Drosophila melanogaster: one gene and its partners. The protein of the gene in region 1 interacts with the protein of each later gene in a pairwise test. Each region holds a gene or a part of one and is shown in the gene's direction. Other genes may lie near its edges. The genes, in order: CG31807, SmydA-8, HGTX and CG31249.

What was found.
Region 2: the proteins of CG31807 (region 1) and SmydA-8 interact in a two-hybrid assay, tested with the Drosophila melanogaster proteins (one large-scale study listed by BioGRID).
Region 3: the proteins of CG31807 (region 1) and HGTX interact in a two-hybrid assay, tested with the Drosophila melanogaster proteins (one large-scale study listed by BioGRID).
Region 4: the proteins of CG31807 (region 1) and CG31249 interact in a two-hybrid assay, tested with the Drosophila melanogaster proteins (one large-scale study listed by BioGRID).

Annotation. Positions count from the first base shown.
Region 1 is NT_033779.5:16,681,316-16,683,977, reverse strand, and holds CG31807 (uncharacterized protein), read left to right. Parts: upstream 1-1,575; 5' UTR 1,576-1,611; coding exon 1,612-2,079; 3' UTR 2,080-2,159; downstream 2,160-2,662. Other genes in the region: CG33552 (uncharacterized protein), read right to left, coding at 886-1,359; squ (squash), read right to left, coding at 2,534-2,662.
Region 2 is NC_004354.4:2,204,996-2,210,618, reverse strand, and holds SmydA-8 (SET and MYND domain containing, arthropod-specific, member 8), read left to right. Parts: upstream 1-1,940; 5' UTR 1,941-2,134; coding exon 2,135-3,085; intron 3,086-4,155; coding exon 4,156-4,593; 3' UTR 4,594-5,104; downstream 5,105-5,623.
Region 3 is NT_037436.4:14,596,493-14,601,407, reverse strand, and holds the start of HGTX (HGTX), read left to right. Parts: upstream 1-1,867; 5' UTR 1,868-2,472; coding exon of another isoform or gene 2,473-2,694; coding exon 2,695-3,622; intron 3,623-4,915.
Region 4 is NT_033777.3:17,685,159-17,688,684, reverse strand, and holds CG31249 (uncharacterized protein), read left to right. Parts: upstream 1-1,613; 5' UTR 1,614-1,719; coding exon 1,720-1,789; intron 1,790-1,847; coding exon 1,848-2,174; intron 2,175-2,323; coding exon 2,324-2,679; 3' UTR 2,680-2,996; downstream 2,997-3,526. Other genes in the region: CG31360 (uncharacterized protein), read right to left, coding at 3,154-3,272, 3,335-3,512.

The DNA of each region.
Region 1 (2,662 bases):
GTATGTAGGTTTGTTTGGATATTGATGTACAACTGCGTACAATAGCATCAGGCCTATGCATAAAACACAACAACTTCAGCATCCATTTCACCACTTATAACAACAAAACTTCTGCTTGACAACCCCGGCGAATAGAAGAAAAGGGAGCGAAGTAAGGAAAATCGCAAGAGAAGAAAAAAGGAAACAAAAGACGCACGTGGTTGCCACGGAACTAAAAACTTTTGGCTGCGTGTGTTCGTGAGTTCACACTTTTCTCGGGCGGGAAGAGAAGATGCACGCGAAAATAAACGGGAGAGAAGCAGCCACCACAAAAAGGAGACAGACAACTCGCACCGCCAAAACTCAGCACAAGTTTGCTAATTTAGCCAGTAAGTTACTGTAGCCTGATTCAATTAGTCAGATAAGGACCTTGCTCTACATTAGTAAATGCACTAAAATATTTATATTTTTAAGCAATACATATGTACCTACATTAACGTTATTATTTAACTTGATTCTTTTACTACTACTACTACACTACTTTTCAAATTCCCTCTACTTTATTACGTGAGCCACTTTCTCAATGTTATTTGGCAAACTCTGCGACAGATTATTGCTTAATTGATAATAATAGTTCCCGCACACAAAAACAATAACAAATTATTTATGTATGCATATAGTGGAGTGTGGTTTATTGATTAAGGAATTACGGGGGGTCTCACTCCACTTGCGATATACGCTTGCCAAATGTTCAAATCATCTATTGATTGAATAAGGGAAATTGAATAAAAATTGAGAAAATGATTGTGGTGGTTTAATTATCACAAACATACAAGAAAATATTAATTTCTCTTGTTTCTTTTGCTTGGGTTTTTATTTTGTCCAACTTCCCAGCAAATGTAATGTTTACTGTAATAATTCAGCCGTGCACAAATTTTGACCTGCTATAATAATGCGAACATCCATACAGCGGATCATCTGTGATTTGCAGATGGGGCATGTCTTGTTACGCTGCAAGTAATGTAGTATGCAATTCGCTCCAAAAAGGTGACCGCATTTAATTGAAACTGGGCGATGGTCTCCGGTAACCTCATAATTCCATTTGCAAATGTAGCACTTGTTCTCTTCGGCGATCTTCTTTCGTTTCATAGACAGGTTCTCCGCTTGATTCGCAATCGCGTCCTGCGCCGCTAGCCTCAGTCGCAACTCCTTCGTTATGTTCTTCTCCTTGTCCAGTTGCAGTCGCAGATCAATTAAACGCTTTTTGGACTCGAAACTATCCTTGATGATTTCGTCCTTTTCTTTGTTCCGTTTTCGCTGCTTAATGACCTCAACGATGAGTTTTTTCTTGGTCATCTTTGTAATATCTTGTTTATCCATCTCGTTTTCGATGTGAACGATTCGCAAATATTACAGTCGAGTTTTATTTTGAAATGGATTTTTTTTTTGACAGCTGTAAATATGTTGGCTGTGTTGGAAAATGCAACACACAACTAATTCTAATGATTACAAGAAAAAATAATTTTGTTCAATCTAGGCAGTCCACGCTTAAACCTTCACTGAGAAGACATTCGTTCTAAAAGTGCTTGTCTAAAAAATTCGTTCACCTTGTAATTTTAATTTCTTTACAATATGCCCAATAACAAAGCCCAGACTCGCTCGTTGATGAGGATGCTGAAGAAGGATGTTGTTGAGCAGCTCTTAGCGGAAAGGAAAAAAAGTGAGCAAAAGGACAAGCAACTGGCGAAGCTAAATATTACAACTCAAGAGAAGGATAAAATGCGCGAGGAGGAACTCAAGCTATATTACCAAATGGAAGAAGAGATAACCAATCAGAAATTATTGCAAGAGCAGTTGTTGTTCGAGTCCAAGGACGAATTAACACAGCAGCTTGAGAAGATTGCCATCGAAAATACTTGCTGCATATGCCTGGATCCTTGGGAAGCGAAGGATCATCACCGCTTGGTTTCGCTTAGATGTGGTCACCTTTTTGGGGAGATGTGCATCCGGACCCACTTGCAGCATGCCGATATGTGCCCAATATGCCGCAAAGTAGCTATTGAAAGAGACGTCTGGCGTGTGTTATTAAACACGCCATAAAATTATTTTCTATAAATACGATGTTCTAGCTATAATATAGTGCGTTGATAAGCGCGATCGATTTAATCGATAAACATAAATTTTAATACCTCGATTATATTTCCGACTATATTCCAATTTTTTCATATTTAGGAGGGGATACAATTGAATAATTACCAAATGGTTTGGGAAACATGCATTTGCAACAATAAATTAATATAAAAAAATTCATTTAAGGATATATTGAATTCTACAGCACTAACATTCCTTTCGCATTTAATTTATTAAAATAGATAAATATTTTGTTTACCCTATGATATCAAGTATTTTTCTTTCTATTTGTAGAACTGCATCCAATATAAATTCGGTTTTCTAAACGACGTTTAAGCCGTTTATTTACATGTTACAGAAGCTTATATATAAAAAGTGATTGATTTTTTGGTTCTAATAATTGCATTCCCCGTTGGTTCCTCCTTCATTCATTGAATTGGTTTCCAAATTGGACTGGTGATTCCACTTCCTGGTCGTAACTCTCCGCAAGCTGTTTGTAAGGTACTTCGAGGTATTTCTCCGACTTTGACGCCTTGATCTCGCCCTGCTTCTT
Region 2 (5,623 bases), on another chromosome or scaffold:
TTTGCAGCTGACAACCTCACCTAACGACCCATTTCATTTTTTAGATAATTTGGTAAAAATAATTTTTTGCGAAATTTTCACTTTTTTATAAGGGGTTACATCACGTTTTTTTTCGAAAAATGGTGAAATTTTAATATTTTTAGCTGGGAATGCCACTGGATAGGAAATTAAGCTACGAATTCAACAAGGTATGGCATTCCACATTTGATCGACTATTACAAAAGTTGTGGTTGTGCTAATGTAATAATATTTATCATGATAGCTTTAAAGGACTCATGGTCGATAATGCCCGAACGCACCCTATAATTTTTCAGTTGGTATTCACGCTTTTTGATATTTGGCATTCGAGTGCGTTCTATTCGCTTCATGCCGCTCAGTCTAGCTTCCGTTCGATTGGGCCAATAAAATGCGCGTAAAAGTGAAAATAGATTTGGAATGTGGGCGAACTATAAGTTGCTGGCGGTCCGTAGCAGGAGCAGGGAGAACGGAGGTCGTACGCTTTAGAACTGATTTACGTATTACCGCAGAGAATGGGCGTGGCAGGACGAACCTACTCCACTTTGGAACATGTGACAGTGCGTGACATTCGCGTCGGAAAGTGAACAGCTGGGAGTGGAGCCACCCCATTTTTGGTCATGGTCCTGGTACTGGTCCTTCTCCCCACCAGGTCACGTGTTGCGACGCTCACCTCGTTTTGCGGCCTGGTGTCTCCGACCCCTTGGCCCCTGGAACACGCAACTCATTGGCCAGCGAAGCCCTAATTTATGTCCCGGCCACACGCACTGCCATATGTAGTTAGACCCGCAGAAAGTGGGTTGCACTGCCAGCCAGGATTGTAGTACTCATTTCTTATTCTACGTTGTATGCATTTAGGCAACACTCTCCAGGGCTTACAGTCCTATCCATGAGCGGCCTATTACGTCGTGCACTCATTTTTGGCCAGTGTAGCAGCGTGGGAGACAAACACGCTTGGTATCAATGGCGCTGCATCTCCACAAATAATTTTGCCAACCGTTCAGATTGTCGTAGGGCGACAGAAATCGGATGAAGATGGTGATAGCGATGGGATGGGGGTGGAGGTGGGGATGAGATGGGGTGGGTGGTGCTCCTATGGCTTCGTTTCAGTTTATGGCGTCCATAACCAACCGCAAGCAGACTTCGGTGAAGGGGGCTGGGGGTTTCAGCCACAGTGAGGTGTTTGGCGAACAAATTGACAGTGGGAAATGTTCTTTGATGGCTGAATGGCTGATGGCTGATGGCTGCATCAGTGCCTTTCACTATGCCCCTCGCGATCGTCAACCCCCGATGGACGCCCACTAGCGAATCCAATTGAACGCAACAATAGCAACCACAGCAGCGGCAGCAACAACCACACGGCAACAACAGCTCAAGCACAAATTGAATAAGAGTCAAAAGCAAAATCCGCTTTGCGTCGTCCCAGCCAAATGTCTCTATTTCCCAGTGGCGCACCAAGTGGCTCCACGTTCCCGACTCCGAAAACGTTTCGAAACCGCTTATCGCGGAATCAAAACTTTTGGCTTCTCACAAAAAGTGTTGAACTTTTGTGTCAAGCTGCCTAAAAATAGCCCGAATTTTGGCCAAAACAATGAACACAATGCTCAAGTTCTTTCCTTCGGGGAAAATGTTATTTTGGATTTCGTAAATGGGAACTTGGCGGCGAGTGTGTGTGCTTTCAGTGTGCGTGTGCCTTGGAAAAAATCATATTTGACTGTTGTCGCTGTTGTCCCCTTGCCCCCCCATTTCCCGTTCCTCACCTCCCGGCCCCTTTCGTCAATCGCCTTCCCCCGTTCCCTGGTGGATGCCTCTAATTTGTGTTTTTTTAGTTGTGTCTAATGCTCTCCGAGGGCGTCGGTGTGTCCACGTCATAAGCGTCGCTGCTTTGCTGGGTTGCTTCCACTGTCGGCAGTCAGTTGTTGCTGTTGTTGCTGATGTGCTGGGTGGTGTTGCTGCTGCTGCTGCCGCTGCTCATGTTGCTGCTGTCGTCGCTGTCGCCACTATATCGTTGCTATTCCCGCGTAGTCCGCCCAGCTGCGCGGAGACATCTTCACTCGCCGAGTTGCCGCGCGTCGCGTTGGTTCGCCGCAGTTCCGACCGACCTCCCACCGCAGTCGCCATGTCTACTGCTGCCCAGTGCCCGCCTCCTCGCCCAGGCGGTGGTGGAGGAGACACCACACTGGCCGCCCTGAGCGCTCACATGGCCCCTTGTCGCGACACCACGCCCGAGCAGCTGGCGCAGCTGATAGACGTCCACTTGGGGGATCTGCGCCAAGAGCAGCCCAACTGGACCATCAGCTCCTCCACGGTGGCAGGTCGTGGGGTGTTTGCCACCCGAGACATAGCCGCCGGCGAGCTGATCTTCCAGGAGCGAGCCCTAGTCACCGGTCCGACGGCGAGAAAGGGCCAACTGAGCAGCTGCATCTGCTGTCATGAGACCCTGCCGCAAACGGGATTCCTTTGCCGGCATCGCTGCACCCTGCCCGTATGCGAAACCTGTTCGGATTCCGAGGAGCACCAGGCGGAGTGCGAGCACTTCCGTCGCTGGCAGCCCAAAGACGTGGATGCGGAGCAGGAGCAGGTGAATCCTATGTCGCTGAGGATCCTCACCGCAGTGAGGGTCTTCCACTTGGGCAAGGAACAGCGGCATCTGGTGGACGCCATGCAAGCGAATGCGGAGCGCGCTTACCGGCGGGAGATCATCCAGGCGGCCCAATGCTTCCGGAACTTCCCCACCACGGATCGGGTGTTCATGGACCAGCTGTTCCGGATCGTGGGCGTGCTCAATACAAATGCCTTCGAGGCTCCTTGCCGCTCTGGCGGCCACGAGACGCTACTGCGGGGTCTGTTCCCGCTCACGGCGATCATGAACCACGAGTGCACCCCGAACGCTAGTCACTACTTCGAAAACGGTCGACTGGCGGTGGTTCGGGCTGCGCGCGATATTCCCAAGGGCGGTGAGATTACCACGACCTACACCAAGATCCTCTGGGGCAACCTCACCCGGAATATCTTCCTCAAGATGACCAAGCACTTTGCCTGCGACTGCGTGAGGTGTCACGACAATACTGTGAGTACGGTACCAATAGGAATCCTGGTCTCCTTGGGTAATCCCTCCTCCCACCATCTGCAAGCTTAGCTTCTGACTATGGTCATTTCTAGGCTGATGGAGTTTCTTCATGGTTAATAGCAATCTTCGCCAAACTTTCCACCAATCCTCTTTTTCTGAACCTACCTGATAGCTATCATTCTCCCTATCCGCCATCTGCATCGCGACCATCGCAATATATTTGTCCCAAAACAAAAAACAATAATTGCAATTTGAAAAGCTCTGAATTTCGGGCACATTTCTTGGCCAACGCCGATGTCACCGGCGTTGTGAAAGTGCGCGTGTGGTAGGGATGTGAGTGGCATGGGCATATATGTATGTACGTACGCGATCCACATATCCGGCCGGCCACATCTATTTATGTGGCCGCTCTCTGCCGCTCTGGGATGAGTTGAATAATGGCCTCTGGCGTTGGCAGTGGCCGCCGCTGGCCAGGCCCCCTGACACAAATGCGTTCCCTAATTAAATTAGTTATATGATTTGCATCAACCAGGGCCCAGGGGCGCGCCCAAGGGGGGGTGTCCATCAAGTGGGCAAAGGGGCAACATTTGGTAACAGGCACACGCACTTTTCCCTGCTAAAATGACTGCCTGATGGGCATAGTAACAAAATTACTTGTTGGGAGTTGGGTGAGCTTGAGACATCTTTGTCACAGCCCTGCAGTCGTTGGACAGTTCCATTCTTGCTATTAAATATACACCTTAAACGCACTCTTGTTCAAGACCTCCGAGGCATACATTATCAGTCCATTGATCCTATTTGCCTATATGCCTTTAATGTGGGCATCCAAAGTTCCCGGGCTACTAACACACACCCCCAAAATTTACATGAGCATGACACACAGAATGTTAATTTTGATTTCGATTCTGATTTCGATTTCGATTTCCATTTCGATTCGGAGTGGAACCAACTGTACGCCGTGAATGGACAGAGGCGGACGTGAACCCGCCGGATCTTTGACTGCAGATTCCACCCCCGATTTCCTGATTCCCCCCAAGTCCTTCGATTCACTGACCATTGTCTTCTTGCAGGAAAACGGCACCTACTTGTCGGCGCTTTTCTGCCGGGAACAGGGCTGCCGTGGCCTGGTGATTCCCGTCCAGACTCGGACACTGCAGCCGGACTGGCGGTGCATCACTTGCGAGAACGTGTTCCCGCACGCAAAGATGGCCAAGTACCAGGACTTCGCGCTGAACACCATCAATAACCGTATCAACTCGTGCAGTGTCCAGGACATGATCCACTTCATCAACGAGCTGTGTCCGCGCTTCTGTCCCTCCTCGAACTACGTGCTGATCGAGGCCAAGCTGAATGTGATCTGGAGGATGACGCGGTTCGACCACGAGGAGTACACTCCGGAGGAGATGGGCCACATGGATCGCTACCGCGAGGAAGTGTTGGCCATCCTCCACAAGCTGGGAGCCGGAGAGTGTACCCTAAAGAAGCTGATCACCGGGGAGATTCAGTGATTCATATTTAGCTTCAAAACTTCATTTTTTTTTTTTTAGGTGTGAATGAGTGAGTGCTTTTGTGAATGCGTACTTTTCGGGGTGGCGTGAATCGCATCCGAGCCCTTTGTTGCTATTTTATTCGTAGTCACTTAAGAATCCAATAAACACCGAATCCTTTCGAACTATATCTGCAATCCGTTCTGTATGTGGACCCCTTTCGAGGAACGCCTCTGTGCCCTGACAATAAATATGAATAGCCAACTAGCCACGAAGATCACCGGTCTGCGATTGACCAACAAGTTGAAAATTGCCACGATGTAGATTCTCTGGGCTCTCATTCGTTTTTTTGGGATCGTCTTGGCAAGCACTGTAGTATGTGAAAGGAATGCTGTGTTGACGAGGAGCAAGTCGACTGGGCAGTATGTATATGGCATGTGATTTATATGGTACATGGATTATCTATTGCATTTCTGGGGCTATTGGCCAAAACTGATTGCAGTAATCTTAACGCGTATGAATTTCTAGAGCCTGTATCTTTCGTATTTGATTTCGTAAAAAATAGATTGTTTCAAGCACAACGCTACTTACCCGCACATTTCATATTCCCATTGTCAGGGGCATGTGTGGTTTTTCAGCCAATCGATTTCAAAATGGACTTTTGTGGTTTTCTGTTGTTGTACAAAAGCTTTCTTTAATGGCGCATACACAGACGGACACACACGCACAGGCATACAGTCATAATAGAATAACAATAATTTGGTATGGGTACATGTACGTGTAGGCATACATTTGCATGCACTTGCAATGGGGGCCTTTAATGGGGTCTGGGGTCAGGGGTCAGGGGTCTGGGGTCTGGGGTCAGAGGTCATGGCTCGGGGGACAGAAGCCGGCGGTTCGGTGACAGTCGCCCGTACACAATTATTCGGATATGCCATAGCTGCGGCATACACGCATACCTCGGTACATGGCTGGCCTAGGTCTAGGACTTAATCTAACCAAGTGTCGTGTGCATCAGTACGTATCTAGATTTATAGTTACAGTAGAAAAA
Region 3 (4,915 bases), on another chromosome or scaffold:
GAAATTTATGAACACTGTAAATATACTGTAAAAAAGACTTGATGGATTTAGTTATGAATTTATAAAATATTATTTTTTTTCTTAAGGGTATGTATTATTATGTTTTTCTTGTATTTAAAGTTGTCTTAAAAAAAATGTAGTGACAAACGACTTATATTGATAATATAAATCTTACAATTAACTTTTTCGTTTTTAAACAAATTCAATAGTTTTTATATTAAAGCTGAATGCTTACAGGCAACCTTAAAATTTAAAGTGTAAATTTTTCAATATTTTTCGTTAAAGATCTGTTAACTACGATGAAAGAAAATTCTATGACATGTTTTCTGCCACGCATAAATTTATGGGGAATTGTTTCAGATCAAAGCAAAAGATGAGGGCTGCTTAGACGAACTACGAAAGGAGAGACGAATGGATGGGTAAGGCTTCCAGGAGTATTTAAGGTCTTCATTTTTATGGGTCGGCAAAGTCAATTAAATAAAGAACACAGTCGAAAATCAACAAGCTGTGGTGGAAATGACCAGCAAAAGATAGAGATACTCACTCAACGGTTGAGTGAATTCGCTCCTTCATACTTTCACTCACATTCATTCACAATGGCGGTCCAAGTTCTCTCTCCCTTTCTCATTTTAGTGGGCGTGGCCTTGCCCTCTATTCCACATCCCATTTCATTCCTATGAGATCTCACCGTTTTGTCTGAGTAAATTAAAATTGTGTGTAGTTTATTATTAAATGAAGCGCATTTTTGTATTTGTATGTGGACCACCCGTCTGCCTGTCAGAGTATGTGTGTGTGTGTGTAACACCAGCAACAGCGGTATTTTTATATAGATAAACATAAATATAATTCGTTGGCCGTCGGTGGGTTAACAATCCTCCGGCCCACCGACGGGCACATAATAATATTAAAATGTTAATTAGCGTATTAATTCAGTTCGGTGATGAAAGTGTGAGCGGTACAAAACGTGATACATACATATATATGTTGGTATGCTGTGCTGGGACTCACATTTCTGAAAATAATTTATAAGATAATCTAGAAAAAGGTGTCTTTGGTATATGGTTAAAAAAAATCCTTAAAATATAGAGTAATTAAAAAATAAAACTATATAGGCATATTCTTTACAGTTCGCGAATTAATAACATTTCACATATTTATGTTATATTACTTAAGTACAGAATTTTGTATTAAATTAATTACAAACAAACATTTAAAAAAAGTGTTGAAATACTTCTACTTTAACCTATAGTTTCTCGTTTACATTTATAGCTCTCATTTATCGCCAGCGCAATTTTTAATTATTTAAATGAATAAGTCCAACGAAAAAAGCTGCCAGCTTCGTCTCAATATTTATAGCTTTTTAAACAAATAAACGGAATTCGCAGTCGACAAAAAGGCCACCCACAATCCAGCGACCCAGGGAAAAAGCCATGAAAATGCACTCAGCCTCAAGGAAACAGTTGGCCAGAAAAGGACAGATGGTGGTGCAAGCGAGACAAAGCACACCAAGAGTGCCAGGATAAGTTCCCGTTTCAGTCCCAGGCTCCAATCCGAATCCGAAATAGTTGATTTTAATGATGTACATAATAAAATTCCCATTCGTTTTGTGCCAATGCCACTGCGTTCCAGTCTGCATTTCATGTTTACACTGATTGTGGAACACTCTTGTGGGCGAGAAAGAGACACATCGATATGGGGGAGCAAGACAACCATATACGACTCTCTCCCTCGCGCGCTCTAGAGATGATGCTGCGAGTGGAAGTGGAATCGGAATGCGGAGGGTTGAAAGCCGTACCCCCAACCAAAAACCGAAACTGAAATTGAAACTGAGATTGTGCGACTGAGGGCCAGTCGAGTCAATTTCGAAATCATTCGTTAGTCGTAGGCCTAAACAAGCGGACACGCGCGGGTCTTCATTCACTACGATATTTTCCGGCCACGGAGTTACCCATATAGCCTGATCTCGTTCAAATCGATTATGCCAAGTGTAGTTTCTTAAAATCTAAGAACGATTTGAACAATAAACGTTTTCGTGCTCAACCGTTTGACAAAATCGGTTTCGTGCTTGTGCTAAAAAGGATTCAAGATCATTTGATCATTTGATCTTGAATATATAGATTTACGTGTTTTAATCGTATCGTGATCGGAAAATATTAAAAACCCTATATAAATATAAATACTGCGTACATCGGAAACTGAAGTGCTGACATTATAATTGAAAACAATTCAAGCAAAATACGTAGTTAAACAAAATTTCCAAAAAATTATTAAGGAACTCAATAAGTTTTATAAGCATAAAGCAGGATATCCCCTTAAATAATTTTTTTGGTCTTAATTACATAGAAGTAATTAATCAAAAATATTTGAACAAAAAGCTGCTATTGCTTAAATACTATTTATAACCAAACTGAAAAGCCTAAATCGTTAAGATTCGATCTTCTCCGCGTGAATACCTATCCGTAGACCGATCCCAAGCTGGGTAGTCCATTCCTGAGCATTACGCCGGCGGGTGGCAGCAGCAATCCCTCGCCCACGCCTCCACCGCCAGACGCCAAGGTGGCGGCCAAGCAGCTGGCCCAGAGCTTCCAGCTGTCCGCCAATTCCGCCTTTAACTTGGCCCTTCCGCCGGCATTTTACCGAGCACCACCGCAGCAGCACCCGGAGTGCCTGGACTACGGCCACGAAGCGCCCGAGATGGATCTGATAAATCCGTATATGCGCCATCATAGTTTTGCGGCCGCCGCCCAGGGAAGTCCCCCGTCGGCGGCTCAACGTCATCATTTGGCGGCGGCCATGAGCAATGGCTTCGCGGATGTCCATGCCCATGCGATGGCGGCGGCGGACTATCAACAACAGTTGGCCGATTACCACAGTGCAGCGGCGGCAGCGGCCGTTTATGCCAACAACAATAATAATAATAACAATAATAGCAGTAACAACAACAACAGCAGTCCGCTAATGTTGCTAAAGGCGGCACATGGCGGAGGTCTCAAGGATTCGGACTCGCCATCGACGACACCGCCACCCGCCTCTTCTAGACTCCATTCTGACTCCTCGCCATCTCCGCGATACGAACACAATTCCAGTCCCGGTGTGGACAGTGCCAAGTCGTATGCCTTGAGCCAGAGGAGCAGCGGAGCGGAGGATCCATGCCAGACCAGCGAATCCGCCAGTCCACCGCCGCAGGGCCAGAACGACTACAGTCCCGAGAATCTCAGCAGCCAGAGGGCAAAGTTCCAGCACCATCATGGAGTGAACCCACTGGCTTTGCACAATGCCAACCATGCCGGAAACCCCGGATGTCACAACAACAATAACCACATGGACCACAAGCTCCCACTGAGTTTTCTCGGTCCCCCGCTGGCCGCTCTTCACTCGATGACCACGGAAATGAAGGGTCAAGGAGTCGGTGGATCGTCGGCGTCGGCAAATGGCTTGTCCTATAGCCACAGCCCGAATTCGCATTTGATCAGTGATCGCGGATCCGGTGGCAGCTCATCGTCGTCCTCCACCACGACTACGAACACCAACAGCCAGGGTGCACCCAATCCGCACGGCATCGATACCATCCTCTCCAAACCACCGCCGGTGACATCGGCGGGTCTAAGTGCTTTAACAGGAGGTGAGTAAAGGAATGGATTTAATATGGGTTGGGTTTATTATATATTATACCCTGTTATTTTATACCAATTATATTAAGGAAGAAAGTGTATAAGGCCATGATTTGGGGACTTTTAATAAATTTCGAACTTCTTAAAGATGTTTGTTAAAACACACATTTTAATAATGCATAAAATAAAATACATAAACAATGGTTCTTGTTTTTACAATTTTATTGACATAAATCTAAATTTGGAAAAATCAAAATATTCCATTTAAATTTAAGCGCTTTCCAAAAAGTTGCTATATGTGTTGCTTAATGCTGAAGAACTTTGCTCTAATTTGAACGCATAACTATTAAACTTAATTGCATAATAAAAATGAAATAATAATACGCTACCTGTTTATTTACAATTGTCTCTCCCAATTCAATGCACCTAGTCATTATGCAACACTGAAATATGTGTATATATGTACATATGTATCAGACACGAATCAATAGATATTTTGTATGCACCGAACTCAAAAAGCCAAAGAAAAAAAGAGATATATTTTAAATGCTTCAAAAACTCGTTTCGCAAACCAAACAGAAAAATAAAAAGGCAATCTCGTCGAACAAAAACGACCGAAAATTGTTGTTTTGTTTACGAATCCGGTTTGGCATGATTCCATATGATTCCATGATTCAATAAAAGCCATTCCCCAGCCCACAACCCCCCTGTCATTACGCCCCCTGGTCGCTTTACCTAATCAGGGCAATTTTGGATATTGAGCACACCGTTTTCTACGAAACCCAAAATGGTTATAATATCCAATTGCAAAATTACCACATAACGTAATGAGATACGCGTTTTAACGTTAAAATTTGCAGCAATTAGTTGTCAAATTGTTTGTAATTAAATCAAAATGACACACAAAAAACGTGGTCTATATGGAAAATAAATGGTGGAGGGGATCTGAATCTGTGACGCTGTCGTTTCACTAAAATGATTTGGTTTTTCAGCCACTCTGCGTCGCATTTTTTGTACTTTTTCACTCAAATGTAGACCAATTGTGTGACATGACAGTGGTTTGAAAGGAGGGGGCGCGGTTGACAGGGTGATGACAATTTGCCATAACATTTTTAATTATTTTTAACGAGGGCGTTTATGTGATTTGATTCGTTTATTTGGGTTTTTCTTTAAACGATTCGGTCACCAGAAACGTAACTCATTCTTTGACAAATTATTTAATGGTCTTTAATTAATTCGAACAAATTCCGTATTGTGTGTTTGAGTTCGCCATGAGTGGGCAGAAAAATTGGCTGGCTGAGAAC
Region 4 (3,526 bases), on another chromosome or scaffold:
AGTTTTAATCGCATAACTCGGAGGCGAATGGAAATGAAATTAAGCGAGAGAAACAAGCAAACAAGCAAAAATGAAAAACCCTCAGATGAAGGCAAGCAAACAATTTAAATTGAAATCAAATTAGGTGATATAATATATAAAAATACATAACATATACATACATAATTAATATAAACGAAACATGAAAAATCGAAAAAATGAAACCCTAATGCTGTAATCTTATGTTAACTGTATTATTTGCTGGAAGTGCTGCTGCTTCGTTTTATTTTATATCGAACTTACTTAAGGCGTAAATGACAAGATAAATAATTAGGTTTTTATCTTAATCTTAATTTAAAATGCAAAACAAATAAAACCAAGAAAACAAAGCAAAACAAAACGAAACCATAAAATGCTATAAAACACAAAGCGAAGCAAATCGAACTAAAGCTGTAGAGAAGCACGCAAAAAGGACTAATAACCACACATCCACACCCACACCCAAAATGCTTGGCGTTAGGAAACCAATAAACAATTAATGCAAAACCATACATGGGTGGGTGCACCAATTTGTATACTAAACTTTCTCACACATAATTAACGTGCTACATAAGAGATCGAAAATGAAATGTCTCCAGATTCTGGCATGAGCAAGTCTAGAGGTCCTTCCGGTTTCCGGTGGCGATCCTCTGGATCCAGAGGAACTGCAAGATATTGGGAGATAATAGGAAACTGCTGCTGTTGATACGTGTATTCGTGTAGTTGTTTGCAAACAAATATTATAACTCAGCATCTCGATATATAACGTGTAGTTATTAGTCTATAATTTGCTAGGATGTAAATGTATGTCCCTCAAACTTAATTTAATTATTTAATTAATATACATACATATATGATATACAATACAGCCTTTGTACTTGTCGTTTCTTATCGCTGATAAGGGAAAAATATTTTTTGGCGGGGAAATACTTTTTAGAACTCATTTCGATTTTTTCAGTGCAAATCAATTGGTCAGATTGATGAATCCTATGGTAACGCATTCCCAAAATATTTCTTATTATATTATTATAAACTATATTGCTTCTGTTCAGCGTAGGACATTCACTGTTGAGCGAAAGATTATTATATAAATGTATATTCGAGATAATATGCAATTGAGCACCTAAATACCATGTCTAGGTTTTCAAAAATGTCTAGTAACAAGATCTTTTGTCTGTTATTAGGCTGTACTTTCAGCATTGAGGTCGATGTTACTCGATTGGGAATTTGTGCATTGTATTTACAATGTCAATTTGTTCAAATTTACAATTTCAAAAATCAATTTTAAAAGAACTTACATTAATATTAAGAATTCGCGTGTTCCGGGATAAATTTGACTTTTTTAATTAATTGACAATTTTAATCGGTCAATGAAGAGCTTTAAAATTGTATTAATAGTTCTTCAATTAATTGAATAATATGATGTGCAAAAAAATAATTATCGGAAAAAATACTTTTTGACAGTAAGTAGTTTCTTACAAAATATTTGATTTAAAAATTATATATCGATACTTTTTCGAGATTATTAAATTCGAACAGCTTTATCACAGCAAGTTGGCAGCCCAATTTCTACGTCGATAAGTCCTCTCGTTTAATGTTCCATCCCTTAAATTTGGGCGATAAGAATAAGCACAGCCGGCTGTAACATTTTTTGTAAATTAACAGAGCGAATCGATTTTTGTATAGTAATCCGTTGAAAGCATGCTGTCGCTCAAGATGAAACTCGAGGTACTGGGTCGTCCCGATGTTGACATCCCGGTGGTGATGAGCGGTAATTGTCTAGTTTTCCTGATGGGGCTATAAGTCATCCCATTCTTTTCGTTCCGCAGACCGCAAGGAATTCGCCAACACAGTCCTCTGGTTGGAGGACCAGAAGATCCGGCTTTACTCCATAGAGGATCGCTGTAAGCTGCGCACTGTCGACAACCCTGAGATCTGGAAGGAGGGTTACTTAAAGTACTGTGCCGATTTGAGCATGCCGCCCCTGGAGACGCGGCAGGAGCAGCTGGCCTGGATTGTCAGCTATGCTGTGCGCCTGGACTTCCTCGATGATCCTGATCAGTTTGCCTCGATTAACACCAAACAGGTGCCACCCCAAAGCAATGGCAAGCAGTCCCAACAAAGGGTCCAGGCTATTTTCGATGGAAATATTAATAGTATGGTCTGATTTTAACTAAATTTACCATTTAAGGAACTTTAAATTTATATATTATGGATTTTTTAAGAGGTTCCAAAAACCACTTTTATTATCTATAGATGATAATCAGGTAAAGTACAACAAGTATTAATTCTTTCTTCCCACCAGCTCAGGAAAAAGCGTTCGTGGATGGAGTCCGGCTGCTGGCCAGCAAACTGAATGTGCCGCACCACCCGAACCATCTGTTGCAGCTGGAGGCTATCGCTCGCGTGGTGCACGAACGCCTCTCGCCCGCCGCCAAGGATCGCAAGCCGGTAGTGGGTAAACCCTTCCCTTTTGACAAGGGAAACGACGTCGTCTCGTCCAACGACTCTGCCCTGGACCTGCCCATGCGCATACTACGTCTTCTCCAGATCCAGAGCCTACGCGAGCTGCAGACACACATCAATGAGACCATTGTGGCGGTGCAGAACATCACGGCCAATCCAAAGACTGATACCAAGCTGGGGAAAGTGGGATTCTAGACGATTAACAGTAAAGGAACGCAATCGACACAATATAACATAAAAGGACATAAAGAACATAAAAGTTTTAAAATTGCATCTATAAAATATCCTTTAAAGCCAAGCAACAACATTTAGCAGAAATCAATAGATAGATCAACAGCCAAGCTATGAACAAGCAAACACCTTTTTTGAAAGCTATAAAATAAGAATCCTGTTGATATTTTATAATATTATTATTAATACAAACATATGTTTATTTATGATCCTCTTTCAAAAGATGCAATATTGTGTATGCCTATGTAATTAATTTATTTAAAATAAATCATAAATTCATTAAAGCAAACAAGGTTTTGTTTTCAACGATTTTAAATAGAAAAAATTCTAAAAACAAGGTTACAGCTATATTATTGTAATGCCACATGGTCGTACAAAAGAAAACATTAACCTTTATATATTAAGTGACTCTACGATTATAATTAAAACGTCATTGAATTAACGTCTAGAAAAGAACTGATGATCAGTGCTAGTATTTTCCTGTTCTTTTGGCTTCTCGGCGGTTGCCTTCAGGAAATTCGCGTCTGCCAGGCGGGCCACGCCCAGAACTCCAACGGCTATGGCGACGAAGGAGAAAGGAGTAAACATAAGACCGGATTTAAGATCCCAAGTGGCTCACCTGCAGCCAAGCCTTTCATAGTGAAATTCTCCAGAGGTTTCGCTTGTCTTTTTTTCGACTGTGCCAATAGGAAGGCACCAATTCCCAGGAGTCCAAGGCCACTGACCAGACGGCAGGCCAAGCAGTCCACCTCGTTGGAAACGTTGTCCTTGTTCCAAAAAGAAAGTCTACCGATCATTTTTAAAATTATTT